Linked DNA regions of Diceros bicornis minor. The protein of the gene in region 2 interacts with the protein of the main gene of each other region in a pairwise test. Links are inferred from orthologs where the notes say so. Each region holds a gene or a part of one and is shown on either strand. Other genes may lie near its edges.

The links. The genes of interacting proteins can lie anywhere in the genome.
Region 1: the proteins of DACH1 (region 2) and RNF14 interact in binary tests that used the Homo sapiens proteins (3 or more experiments, as listed by UniProt). The two-hybrid records come from large-scale screens. The link is inferred for Diceros bicornis minor from reciprocal best matches to the Homo sapiens genes DACH1 and RNF14.

What each region holds. Positions count from the first base shown.
Region 1 is NC_080740.1:60,077,759-60,084,690, forward strand, and holds the start of RNF14 (E3 ubiquitin-protein ligase RNF14), read left to right. Parts: upstream 1-3,916; 5' UTR 3,917-3,951; exon of another isoform or gene 3,952-4,011; intron 4,012-4,018; exon of another isoform or gene 4,019-4,275; intron 4,276-6,255; 5' UTR 6,256-6,431; intron 6,432-6,932. UniProt on the Homo sapiens protein: E3 ubiquitin-protein ligase that plays a key role in the RNF14-RNF25 translation quality control pathway, a pathway that takes place when a ribosome has stalled during translation, and which promotes ubiquitination and degradation of translation factors on stalled ribosomes.
Region 2 is NC_080748.1:52,105,712-52,112,966, reverse strand, and holds the start of DACH1 (dachshund homolog 1), read left to right. Parts: upstream 1-4,253; 5' UTR 4,254-4,774; coding exon 4,775-5,598; intron 5,599-7,255. UniProt on the Homo sapiens protein: Transcription factor that is involved in regulation of organogenesis. Seems to be a regulator of SIX1, SIX6 and probably SIX5.

The DNA.
Region 1 (6,932 bases), on a different chromosome or scaffold from region 2:
CTTGTGAGTGGTGGCCATTGAAAAGGAGGCTGCCCCCACTGAGCAGGTGGGATGAGCTCAGCAAAGTTTCTGGACATCCATTGGACGCCAGCAACGGATGGGAAGAAGCGTAGGCACTGACGGAAGGCTTGCCAGTCCCTACAGTCACTACACATATTTTGTGACTCACTCTTGCTTCTCAACCCAATGGACTGGGTCCTGACCTCAGGTCTAGGTCACACATGCCACCCTCTCCTAGCCCTAGACTCCATCATCTAGTGTCCCTGGGGACAGGCAACTGATTTGGGTCTCTTTCTCTCTCTCTGTATGCTCATTCTCGCCTATCATTATGTCATAAACTTTATTCCTAACTTCCCTAGGGCTTTCTCTTTTAATTCTTAAGGCCAGAACTATTTTGTTCTCTCTGTATTTGTTACAACAAACTCTAATTCTCTTACAGGCTACAGGAGAGGGTCACACTGATGAGGAAATGGTCTTAATCCTGTCTGTCACCACTGTATGACACGGGTCAGATCACTTCTCCTCTTAGTGCCCCAATTTGCTCATCTGTAAAATGGGGATACAAAATTACCTCAGTCATGGGGTCCTGGGTATTCAAATGAGACAATGCATGTAAAGTTCTTAACACAGTAGAAGGCTGGGCACATGGGGAAAGCTCAATTTAAAAGACCATTCGGGCACACGATGGGGCCGGCCTGGTGGCGCATTGGTTAAGTGCGCACGCTCCGCTTTGGCGTCCTGAAGTCTCGCTGGTTCAGACCCTGGGCCCGCACCAACGCACCGCTCATCAAGCCATGCTGTGGCGGCATCCCATATAAAGTAGAGGAAGATGGGCACGGATGTTAGCCCAGGGCCCATCTTCCTCGGCAAAAAGAGGACGATTGGCATCAGATGTTAGCTCAGGGCGGGTCTTCCTCACAAAAAAAACAAAAAGACTATTCAGGCACGTGAAACCAAAGACATGAAAGTCTGTTATTTTTATGTAGTCAAAAAAATAAAAATTATTAGAAAACTCTCTTTATCCAATCCTGACCTCAAAACTTGTCTCTAAATATTGAGTCCGATTTGAACATTCATCCAAACTATTACCATTGCTTTGAAAGTCTCTCTTCTTTGCCCTCCATCCTGTGGCATCTGATATGAGGTCACGACATGATGTCACAATTCACCTCCTGCTCTGATTCTGTGAGAATTTCCCGAGCTAACTCTTAGGCTCCTCACTTTTTGCATCGGAAGGTCTCTGGCAGGACTCACGGTCTCACCTCTGAGCACTCTGAGGTAGGGCTGCCAGGCGTTTTGCTCTTGGTTTTATTTCTTTTGGCTAAACAAGAATAATGATATTAGTGAATGGCTTCAGAGATTCTTCTTCCTTCCTTTGCATTTTTAAGGAGTATGTTTCTGGTTTTGGTATCTATTACAGGGGTAGCTAGGTTTCTGTTCTGTGACAGTACAGAAAATTAGGAATGATTATTTATTTGCATTTCAAGGTTTTCCCTCTGTGGCAGCCAGGTAAGCACCTCTAGTGCCTCAGTTTACCCACTTGGTTTTTCTTATCTCCTGGGTGCAGGACCAGCTACATAATTTGCAGACCCCAGTGCAAAATGAAAACTCAGAGCCTCTTGTTCGAAAAGTATGAAGAATTTCAAGATGGCCATAGCAGAGCATTAAACCAAGAGCAGGGTCCTTCTAAGCCTGAAGCCCTCCTGAGCACAGGGTCCTGTGTGACTGCACAGGTGGCTGGCCCATGAAGCCAGTCCTGCCTGGGAGGCACTGGTGGTGAAAACTTTTAGAATCCTGTAGGCTTGGATTAGAGCCCTAGCTCCGCAGGTTGCTTTCCTGTGGGGAGAAGTATATGATAAGAAGGACACAGGAGCTTATTAGATCATTAGGGGCACATTAGTTTGAAGGTTCCCAGAAGCAGGAACCAACATTTCAGCATCCCGCTTAAGTGTTGAGAACAGTGCTTTGTACCTAAATTTTTTTTGAGATATAATTCACATATGATAAAATTCACCCTTTAAAAGTGTACAAGCCAGTGGTTTCTAGTATATTCACAAAATTGTGCAACCATCACCACTATTTAATACCACATTATTTCCATCCCTTAAAAGAAACTCCACACCTATTAGCAGTTACTTCCCATGCTCTCCTGCCTCAGCCTCTGGCTGTCTACTTTCTGTCCCTACGGATTTGTCTATTCTGGACATTTCATACAAATGGAATTATACAATATGTGGCCTTTTGTGTCTGACTTCTTTCACTTAGCATAACGTTTTCAAGGTCCATCCATGTTGTAGCATGCATCAATACTTCATTCCTTTTTATAGCTGAATAATATTCCACTGTATGGGTATTCCACATTTTGTTTATCCATTTATCCATTGATGGACGTTTGAGTTGTTTCCACCTTTTGGCTATTGTGAATATTGCTGCTTTGGTGTACATTTAGGTACACTATACATAAATAAATATATACAAATGTAAATATATACAAATGTACTTGTACATTTGTGTACAAGTTTTTGTTCAAACATATGTTTTCAATTCTTTTGGGTATGTACCTAGGAGTAGAATTGCTGGATCTTATTGTATCTCTATGTTTAACTTTTCGAGGAACTGTCAAACTGTCTTCCAAAGTGGCTACACCATTTTATATTCCCAGCGGTAGATGAGGGTTCCAATTTCTCCACAGCCTCACCAACATTTGTTATTATCTGTCTTTTATTATGGCCATCCTAGTGAGTGTGAAGTGGTTTCTCATTGTGGTTTAGATTTGCATTTCCCTGATGACTAAAGATGTTGAGCATCTTTTAATGTTCTTACTGACCTTGTATATCTCTTTTGGAGAAATGTCTATTCAGATCCTTTGCCCATTTTTAAATTGGGTTGTCTTTTTATTGTTGAGTTGCAGGAGTTCTTTATATATTTTGAATATTAGACCCTTGTCAGATACATGACTTGCAAATATTTTCTCCTGTTCTGTGAGTTGTCTTTTCACTTTCTTGATAGTGTCCTTTGAAGCACAAAATTTCTGATTTTGATGAATCCAATTTATCTTTTTTTTTTTTTTTTGCTGCTTATGCTTTTGGTGTGGTACCTAAGAAACTATTACCTAACCCAAGTTCACAAAGATTTACTTCTACATTTTCTTCTAAGAGCTTTATAGTTTTAGCTCTTACATTTAGGTCTTTGATCCATCTTGACTAATTTTTTGTATATGGCATGAGGTAGGGGGCATGTAATTTTAATTCCTGCTCAGCCTCTCAATAATCATGTGCCCTTCAGTAAGTTCTTGAACCTCTCTAAATTTCAACGTCCTCATTTGTAAAGTGGGGATAATAAATAGTATCTAAATCGTAAGGTTATAGTGAAGATAAAGAGAAAATGTACATAAAGCACTTAGCAAAGTGTTTGAAGCATCCTAACTGCTCCATAAACGTGGTAGTTATTACTATTACAGTATGAACAATGAGTGAATGCTTTCCTAGTGGAGGTGTCAGAAAGATGAGCAGCATTTCTGAGAAGGTAGTTGGGATGGCGGGAGGGAGAGGAGGCTTGCTTAGCCTACGTGGAGGAGCAGGTCTGGATTGTTAGGGGAGTGTCTGCCCCAGGTAGACCGCTGCCTCACGATCACCTCCAGGGATTGGTAAAAGTTCTAATTCCCGGGCCCTATCCCAAAACTACTGAAAGGAGGCCCCTGGGCACGGGGACCCAGAATCTGCATATGCATCAACTTCTCCAGAGGCATACTAAGACATGCAGGCAGCGGTGGGGGTGACGGTGGTCGCGCCCGCGGCGCCGCCTCGGCCAGCAGGGGGCGACCAAGGGACGGGGGCGGTCACGGCGGCTGCGCAGAGCCCTCCGATCCGCCCCGTTCAGCTGACAGCTCCGAAGGCGGAAGAGGCGGCGCGCAGGTGGAGCCGGGTGTCTGCAGGCTGGGCCAGAGTGGCGGTGAGGGAACCTGGGGCAAGGGCGGAACTTTCGGGCCCGGCACGGCCTAGTGGCCGGAAGGTACGGTGGGGACCGCGCTCCGGGCGCTCGAGGCAGAGAAGGGCGGCCGGGCCGGGACTGCTCCGTGGGCCTCAGCTCCCCAAACCCGGGACGGGGAGCCCCCAGCCCGGCCCGGCCGAGGTCCGCCGGGGCGCTCGGAGGAGGAAGGAGAAGGTCCAGGCCCTGCTCCTTCGGGACGCCCGGGGCCGCCCCTCGCGGCCGCACAGCGCCCTCTGTCCCAGCGCCGGGCAGGTTGCGAGGCTTGGGCCTGCCCCCCGGTTGTAGGTGAGTCGCACAAACAACGACTCGGCCCGCGGGGTGGCGAGCAGTGGAGACACCGGCGGCAGTGCGGATCCCGAAGCCACGGCTGACTCCGAGGCTGAAGTCCGAAGGGTGTGCCTTGGGGGCATGAGTAGGATTTTTCCCAGGCCGGAGGGAGACCCGGCGGAGGAGGGGCTTCCCTCACTCGGGTAGCGGTTTCCGGTTTGCCAGAACTGATATTAAACTTAATATCTCTCGTCCAATGGCGCCGGGTTTATTCTAGTTCCTGTGTTACAGATGAAGAAACAGGGTGGTCTGAATCCAGCTTTAGTTAAATATTAGCTGGGTGACCTTGGGCCAGAAAGGGAGTTAAATTGTCATTTCTCATCGGTGTCATGGAAGTAGTAATACGACTTGCTTCCTGGGGTTGTGGGACTCGAACAGGAGTTAATGCATTTAAAGGGCTTAGCACAATGCCTGACACACGGTAAGAGCTCACTGTTACTGTTCGTGCTGTTATTGTGACGACCGACGTCTCCTGCTTCTAGTGGGATGTAGCAGAGCAGCAACTGAACCTTGTAATTCTGGTCCCCCATTTCAGCACACTGCATCTCACCCCAAAAATTAGAAATAAGTTCTCATTTTTTCCAGTGTCTAATGCAAGGCAGTGCTAGATGCTGAGAACAATACACAGATGCAAAAGACTTGATCCTCGCCCTTAAGGAACTAATGTAGTCTGGAAGGAGAGGAAGTACAAGTTCTTAAACTACTGTAATGCGAGGTGGGATGTGAATGTCATAGGAAAGTTACAGTAAAAAAGTTTGTGGGATGTTTAGAGAAAAACGAGGTCTAATTGGAAATTTCTACAAGGAATAGGGGCTTTGGAGGTGGGTCTTGAAGGCTGAGTGGATAGAATCAGAAGGAAATGTAGGTCAGCATCATGAATTAAGGGGTTGGGACCCAGTGGCAGCTTCAGAAGCTGGGGTCTGGTGGGGTAGGGCATGAGGAGCTGTTGACGGGAAACACTGCTGGAGTAGAGCTTGTCAATCCTGGCGGTGCTTTAGAATCACCTGGAGAGCTTGGATAGGTGCTGATGCTTGATTTCATTGCTCTAAAGTACAGCCTGGGTATTGAAATTTTAAAAAGCAGCTCCTCAGGTGATTCTAATGTGCAGACAAGATGGAGAACACTAACCTCCAGAAACTTTATAAATTCATCTCTCACCCCACTTATGAATGTTTAAACAGGAAGAAACAAAAAGCTTGTGTTATCACCATGTACTATGCCTGGTAAGATTGTTAAGATTAAATAAGGTAATGTGAAAGGACCTAAATACAGTACATAGTAGGTGCTCAATAAATGTAAATTGAGTCTGTATTTCATTCTTAGCTCATTTGGGAGTCACACATCTGGGAATCTGGTTTAAAAATTATGGTTTCACATAATATTTTTGCATACAATTTCAGGGTGTTCATAGGATTCTCCATAACCCATCTATGGACCACCCACCCCATCCCCCTCACTCCCAGTGAAGAAGCCTGCCTCTAAAGCCTTTAGAATAGAACTTAAAAGTTTGTGTGTGTGTTGTGCAAGTGCTTTTGTTGTTTTGTTTTGTTTTGAAGTATACTGCTAATAGGCGAGAGGGAAAACTGGAGGGGGATAGGAAATGAAGGAGTAGAAGAAGCAGAAGAGGAAAGGAGGAAAAAAACAACCCAAGATGATGTTTGTTTTGGGGCACAGTGTGCTGTCCTCTCATATGAGCTTGGTGTTCCTCCTAAGCTCCTCCCAGGGCTGAAGGCAGTCAGATAAGAAGGCCTCTCATTGCTGGGGACCTGCAGATGCCTCTATAACCACGTGGCTCAGTTGGGCTGTCCTAGGACAGTAATATGCAGCTGTAGATTAGCATTGACTGTGTGTTAGGATGTGTTTAAGTGTGATAATGGAAATTCAGAATTTAAATTTGGAGAGGGTCCTAACACCATCTTTTGTATTTTTTTTCTGCAGATGGCAAGATTTCTATAGTATATCTAGTATGAGTTCCACATCTTGGCCTCTTATCCACCTTCAGCAATCTCATCTCCACCGCCTGGAGAATAAATGGGATTTCCATGAATTCCAAATTCTGAACTGAAATACAGACTACAGTGTTAATATCCTTTTCTTCTAGTTGTTATTAACAGGTACTAACTGACCTCGAATAGAACCTGTCACTGTGTTCTATTTGGGATAGGGATGCAGCTTAAGCTGAACCATTATCATCTGCTGACAAAAATTGTTTTTTGAAAATGGAATCATTTTAAATGAATTTGTCTAAATTTTGTAGTGTCACCTTTTATAATGTGAAAAACTGTGTCCTAACTTTTCAATTTTACACATTTCAATTAAAAAAAATATTTTAGTCAAGTGGGAGCATATTTGCAAGTGCAATTATAGCCCAATATTTTAATTGACAGAGTGGTAATTTTTTGTTGTTGTTTTATTAAAGTAATTTTTTATAGATTCTCATTACATATTTTTTCCATATTTAAATTATCTGAAATTACAGTGCATCTTTCAGTTGCTGTGATTAAAAAGCACTGATTCAGGGCCAGCCCCGTGGCGTAGTGGTTAAGTTCCCATGCTCTGCTTTGGTGGCCTGGGGTTCACGGGTTCAGATCCCAGGCACGGACATACACACCTCT
Region 2 (7,255 bases):
GTCATAACAATCTGGCAGTCTGGCCATAGAAGTGTGCTCAAATTGATTTGTGTTATGGCTGGACTGGAAAATCTAGTGTTAGTTGTTTTTTGCCCTGGGGCATTGTTTGTACCAAACTCTACTTTTCATTTAATTTTCCAATACATTTTGAAAGATTGAAATGCTTGTGATCAACATTTGATCCACTTGCATTATTTAAAAAAAAAATTCTGAAAGTAATTTCAGATTCCAAAAAATCTTGCTTTCAATTAGAGTAAACATAATTAGAGTGATGTCGTGCTCGGAATGGTAAATCTCCCTTTGAATCTATTAAGCATGTTATCTCCTTGTCCTGTCACTGAAAGGAATTCAGTATAGATCTGAAGTATAGATCTGAAGTGTTTTTCTGTGCATGCTTCTAATAGAACTTGGGAAAAAATTAAAAGAATAAAATTGTAATGAACCTTTTCTTGTTGCCCTTTCTGCATCTGCCCAAATTGTTTCTGTTTCACTTAGTGATGCTATAAAAAGAGGATACTCAAAGCTTTCAGGAAATTTCAAGATATTCAAGAAACACATTCAGATAGCTATTGCCTTTAAGTTACTGAATCATTTTAGTTTTTTATATTCTATGAAATACGCATTTTCAATCTTTCTTTCAAATAACTATATCAATTGCTGTATTGAAACTCTGAAGACTTAAAGACATGACTTATCCTGGCTTTGTCAATATTTGTATCTTTCTTACAATCTTCTGCTTTGCAGTCATTTACCAGAATTATAATGCAGCATGAATAAAGCTAAAAAATGACTATTGATTACAGAGAAAGCTTTGTGAAATCATTTAGTCAGTTTCCCCACTTGAGAAATCGGTGAATAAAAATAGGTCAATAGATAAGGATGGAATGGATGTAACACAGTGCTGTGCCTCCCTGGGTTATAAAAAGGGTCAAAAATAAATCCCCATAGAATTCATGTTTTTATACACATAAAATAAAATGATCCTTACCAAATCCCAACTATAAGTCCACCTTTCTACAATCTATTCTTCGTTTTGAAACCACAGGTTTTGAAAGCATAACTTTTACGTTTCCCTGTTTCAGTAAAAGCATTTCCTTGTCACTGCCCCTTTTAACCAAACAGGATGCCCTCATCTTCGGGCTAAAGTGCCTGTTGTCATCCAGGTATTCACTGGGACTTTTGCTGCAACAGCTACTCTCTATTTTCTTACTGTCTCATGCAACCTTACAGCACTTTTCAAAACTGCATTTCATAGTGCACTGAATTCTGTATCCTGGGCCGATTTTTGCTAATAGATGGTGAGACCTGAGTCCACTCTCTCTATTAGTTCCCATTCATAGGAATACCGTCGGGGACACGGGAGGAGGGGGGCGGGGAGGGGAGAGGAGGGGCCCGGAGGAGGCAGAGGGAGGGAAGAAAATACCTTCCCTGAACTGGTACAAGCTCAGCTTCAAACGATATCCTAGGAAAGAAATTAAAGACTTCTTAATTAGTGCAGCAATTAAGCTTTCTTGGTAGCATTTTAATCAGCACAGGCCCTATCAAAGGACAAACAGAACGATTTGCAGGTCTTTGAATTTTAAACAGTCTTATTGATTTCAGCACAATACGTCTTCACAAAACACAGGGAGAATTTTCTAATATCAGTTACAGTACTTTGAGTTTTGCTTATGCAAATTGAGTGCAGGTTGGAGAAGATGAGGTGGAGGGAGAGGACCTGAAACAACCAGAAATGTAAAAACAATAAACAAACAAGACAAAAGCTTTGAAAGCTAAAGATGCAATGGAAACAGTGAGAATTTGAAATGTCTCTAGTTGATTTATCTGTGGTTGTTAAATACTGTTTGCCTTAATCACTGGTAACATTTCTCAAAAAAAAAAAAAAAAGGAAGAAAGAAATCTTAAAAATTTTTTGAGGCTTTTCTTTCCTACGTGTTTTAATTTGCATTATATGCTTTTTCTAATCCTATTGTTTGTTAAAGGGGTAAGTGGTAGTTCCTAGAGACGGTTTAGAGACCTGAGGTGGGGGGGCGCAGGGGGAGGGAAGCTTCCATTCAGGTGGGGGCAGACACCCCGAGCCCTGCTTCTGAATGGAGCACGTGCTGGGAGGCGCAGGGTTCCCAGCAGAAAATTCGGAGTTTGCTTGGACGCAGGGTGGGATTATGGTTTAGTGAGCTATCATTACTCCCTGTTTGTGGCTTCCAAATGTGGCAGGTACAGGCTGAGTGACAGTTTAAGGAAATGTGAGAAATGAGAATGCTAAGGGCAGATTTTCAGCATTTAAATTCGATTTTTTCATTTGTGGGTCTAGAATTTAAAATGAAGAAACTGTAGTTTAGCGTTTTAAAAACTATATCGGAGTTTATTAAAGTTGTGCATGCAATTCCAAAAGAAGATTAGTTTTTCAGGGCTTAATATCTTCTTCCTGTCTTCTGCTCATTAACATAGTAATTTGGCATTTTTAAAAAAGGTAATATTTTCCAAAACACGTATAAACACTTAAAAGACGTGTTTTGATGTATGGAATATATATCAAATTCCTATTTTTAATTGCGGACAGATATGAGGAGTGAGAAGTTAATATAACTTACTTCTGAATATATTAAAATACATTGGGTAACTAGGCCAAACAACTGTGTAAAGTTTAGTTATCTTTGTAAAAGTTTATCTACTTTTTAGCAAAATCAATTTTCTGAATTCAAATTTCTGAATTCTGAGGCCTCCTGATATGACTGCTATGCCCCAAAAAGTTTAGCAGAAACTTACACAAATTAGTCAAAAGTGTCCTATTTCTCTGTAGACATTCCCTGCACCTTTTGACATCAAACTTCAAAAAGTTGAAAGAATTAAAATAATAAAGAGAAATATGATAATAATCTCGACATCAAAATGGCAGAAACTTCATTATGAAATTTCCCAACACTGTGAACCTGATGTTAATAGTTTATTTTCGAAATCTGTCAAGTGCTAAAGCATTGTTTCTCTCTTGTGAAGTTAATGAACATGTGTAGACAGGTTTAAAGCCTAATTATTTAAGATTCCTAGAGCTATAAACAGAGAACAGACTTGATCTATGTTCAAATCATATATTGGTCAAAGATCCTTGAATAAATACCTCCATGCAACAAGTTAGAAAAGGGAAGAAAAGAAGAGAGCAAGGCCAAGAGGAAGAGAGGCAGTTTCCATTCAGCCTGGTGTGGTATTGAAGCAGAGCTGCGCTGTTTGTGGTCAGCTAGCCAGCTTTGTTTTCTTCATTATTTGCAAAACACATTTTCACTGACAAATCGAAAAGAACTTTCCCAAAATATTGATACTTTTCAAACATGAAAAAAATATTGTTATTCATGTAACACTAGCAGCTAGCCTTGGGTCTTAAAGGACGTGAAGATAGTTGGTTACTGTGCAAGACAGGTGAATTAATTATCGAGTTTTCAGTAAGAAAAATCAGTGTTTTCTTGTTTTCCACTTTCTAAATCTTCAAGGGTGCCTGGTCTCTTCAAAGTCTGGTATTGGTATAATAAGCATTTCTGACCAGCCTTTGGGGCACAAGTGAAGTTATTGTGAGCGATCCACATCAGGGCAAGCAATTCTTTCTTTCCATAATCTCTCAGGAAATAACGAACTAAATACAGAGCATTCCACTATATTTAAGCGGTTTCAAACTGACTTTTTCCCCACAACTTGAAAACTGTCCTGGAATTTTCACTATCTATATAAAAATAAATAATTTAATAGGTAGATAAAAACAATCAGATGCATAAAACAAACGCTTTGCTTACATGTGAATTTTCCTCAAAATACTTTCTTAATAATTATGAAGTGAGGGGATGTTTTCATTGATATCTCATTGGAAAAAACGAGCGGAGATACATCCTAAATCCTTGAAGGAGACCTCGGAGCGCTCTGGCTCCTCTTTAAGTTGGCAGGCGATTGCTTAGAAGGTTTTGGAAAAAATGACGAGTCGTCGCGGACGAAATGGAATTATTAGACATGCAATCTAACGGTAGTAGAAGAGAAATAGATCGCCCTCTCCTTTTCCGATCGCCACTTCTGTGTCCCCGGCTTTTCCTTTCCGTCCCTCCCATAGTTTCTTTCCTTATCCTCCCCCACCCCTCCTCCTTTCCTTGCTCACTCGCTTTTCCTCTGTCTCGCGCTCTCGGAGTCTCTGCTCCGAGTTCCTGGTTGGATAATTTGGGTTAATACTAGTGAGTGAGGTTTCTGCGGCTTCAAAGGGTATTTCAAGTTTCCGGAGCTCCTCCCCTCTGCACCGTGTGACAACAACAACTCGTCCAGCCGGCAGCCTGCACTTTTCAGCTCATTTTCTCTCTGTCATTCCCCTCTCAATCTTTGATCAATGTACTTGCCAGGGAGAACCCAAGTCCTTCAAACCTCCTCCTTTTCACCTTCATCCTTAACTTTGTGCTAGAGCGGGACCCACACAACAACAGCCGACCCTCCCCGCCCCCGCCCCCCCCCCCCCCAAACCAGCCCCCGATCCCAGCCCCCGGAGAGGACTCGCATTTCGACTTGCGGGACACTTTTGTGCGTTTCTCTCCAGAGCGCCTCTCGCGCTCGCCCCTCCTGCGCTCTCTCTCTCTTACCCTCACCTCCTTTTTCCCCCTTCTCTCTCTTGCTCCTTCTCGTTCTCTCCCGGAGTTGTTGTTGTTGTTGTCCCCTAGCTCCTTCTCCCCCTATTTTCCCCCTTCCCCTCCCCGGGGTGTGTGGCAACTTTTCCCCTCGCTTCTCCTCCTTCTGTTTCCCCTTATATGTGACCATGGCAGTGCCGGCGGCTTTGATCCCTCCGACCCAGCTGGTCCCCCCTCAACCCCCGATCTCCACGTCTGCTTCCTCCTCCGGCACCACCACCTCCACCTCTTCGGCGACCTCGTCTCCGGCTCCGTCCATCGGGCCCCCGGCGTCCTCAGGGCCAACTCTGTTCCGGCCGGAGCCCATCGCTCCGGCGGCGGCGGCGGCGGCGGCCACAGTCACCTCCACCGGCGGCGGCGGCGGCGGCGGCGGCAGCGGAGGCGGCGGCGGCAGCGCGGGCAACGGAGGCGGCGGTGGCGGCGGCGGCGGCAGCAGCAACTGCAACCCCAGCCTGGTGCCCGCGAGCGGCGGCGGCGGCGGCGGCGCCTCCAGCACCCCCATCAACGCGAGCACCGGCAGCAGCGGCAGCAGTAGCAGCAGCAGCAGCAGCAGCAGCAGCAGTAGCAGCAGCAGTAGCAGCAGCAGCAGCAGCTGCGGCCCCCTCCCCGGGAAACCCGTGTACTCGACCCCGTCCCCAGTGGAAAACACCCCCCAGAATAATGAGTGCAAAATGGTGGATCTGAGGGGGGCCAAAGTGGCTTCCTTCACGGTGGAGGGCTGCGAGCTGATCTGCCTGCCCCAGGCTTTCGACCTGTTCCTGAAGCACTTGGTGGGGGGCTTGCACACGGTCTACACCAAGCTGAAGCGGCTGGAGATCACGCCCGTAGTGTGCAATGTGGAACAGGTTCGCATCCTGAGGGGACTGGGCGCCATCCAGCCTGGAGTGAACCGCTGCAAACTCATCTCCAGGAAGGACTTCGAGACCCTCTACAATGACTGCACCAACGCAAGGTAAAGAGCGGAGGACAGCCTCCGCCACCCTGGGTCCCTTCCCACATGCCTCCTTGCCCTCTCCTCGCTCCCTTCCCGGCGCCGCTTGCTCCGCGCGCCCGCGAGCCGCGCGCCCCGGCGAAAGCGGCCCTCTCCTCCCTTTCCTCCGGGCTCTCCAGCCGCTCTCGACCGTCTAGGAAGTTGGCACCTCACCCTGCCCAGATCCCGCTCTTCCGGCCTGATCCGCCCCTTGCTCGCCTGGGCGCGGGGGCTTGGCTGCTGTGGGACGCGGGAACCCCAAGCCTCGGGGCGGAGGGGGCGGGAAGGAGGAGCACGGTGCCTTAACGGGAGCCACAGCCCCCTTCCTGGGCCGCGCCAGCGTCTGGGGACCCCTCGCAGCGCTGCTGCCCGCGTGTGCGCTCCCTCGGACCCGGGTTCCACCGCGAGCCGCAGGGCACCGGCGGGGCTGGTTGGCGGCGCCGAGCGGCGTCCCGGGGGCGGGGAGAGGTCGTGACCCTGCCCGGCAGGGTTCGGGGAGCGCCAAGACGCTCTCGGGTGAGGGGCCCGCGAGGAAGCCTAAGGAGTGGGCCGCTTCCAGGTCGAGAGGGGAACGACCTCAGAGGCTGAGAGGCCTGGGGCAATCCCGGGGGACCCGCAGCCAGTTCAGCCCCGAAGCCCCGAGAGAAAGCCCGCCGAGGGGAGGGGTCTGTGTGTGCGCGCATGTGTGCTTGTGTCCGCGTGTGAGCGTGTGCGTGTGCAAAGGAGATAAAGGGGCACATTTGCCCCAGGGCAGATTCGAGAGGGGACTAGCAGGTTTCCTTCTGTAGGGGGAGGTGACCGGGTGCCTGACTCTTGGAAGCTGAACTGCAAAGATGGGGAAGAAGAACACACCTCGCTCGCTCTCTCTCCCACCAAACTGTTTTTTTTTCTTTTCTTTCTTTCTTTTCTTTTCTTTTTCTTTAAAGGTTAGTAGCGCACGCAGTGAGCAGGCGCAGGCTTTGCACTGGGATGCTCTGCGGACCTGAATACCCGGTGCCGTAGCTTCCCCAGCCTCGCAAAGCGCGCGAACCCTGGAGGCCGCAGGACCGGGAGCCCGGCCAGACCAGTTTTATGCTAATGAACGCTCACTGGGGGAGGATCTACCAAGAGGGGGCGGGAGTGGGGTAACTTGTCAGTTTCGGGGTAGAAATGATCATTCCACCCGCTTTCCCAGTTCCGCCTTGCCCCACCATTCTCCGCAGAGGGAAAAGTTCAGAGATGCCGGGAGAAAGCGAGTAGGGAAAGTTGGAGACCAGAAGCGGGCGCGTGGGAACTCCGCGCGAATGCGCGGCGACTTCGGTACCCTCCAAATAAGTTTAACGACCGGGAGAAGGAAAGGAGTTTTACTCTTTTAGATTGTCTGTCCTAGTAGAGCTAAGGAAACTGAGATGGGAAGGAAAGAGGGGTAGGACGAGACCAGAAGGAAACCGGGGTGAAAAAGCCCTTAGCTACTTCTTCCATGGAAGAAGACTCTTGGCTAGTGCCCCTAGAAGGCTGTAAGACGAAAAAGACTCAAACTCCAACCCAGCAAAGGTCCTATCCCGACCTAGCCAGAAACTCTTTTCCGTGTTTATCTGCCATTCTTTGCACGGGGTACATGGGTGTGTGTTTGGGTTTTGAACGTCATTTCTACTATTTT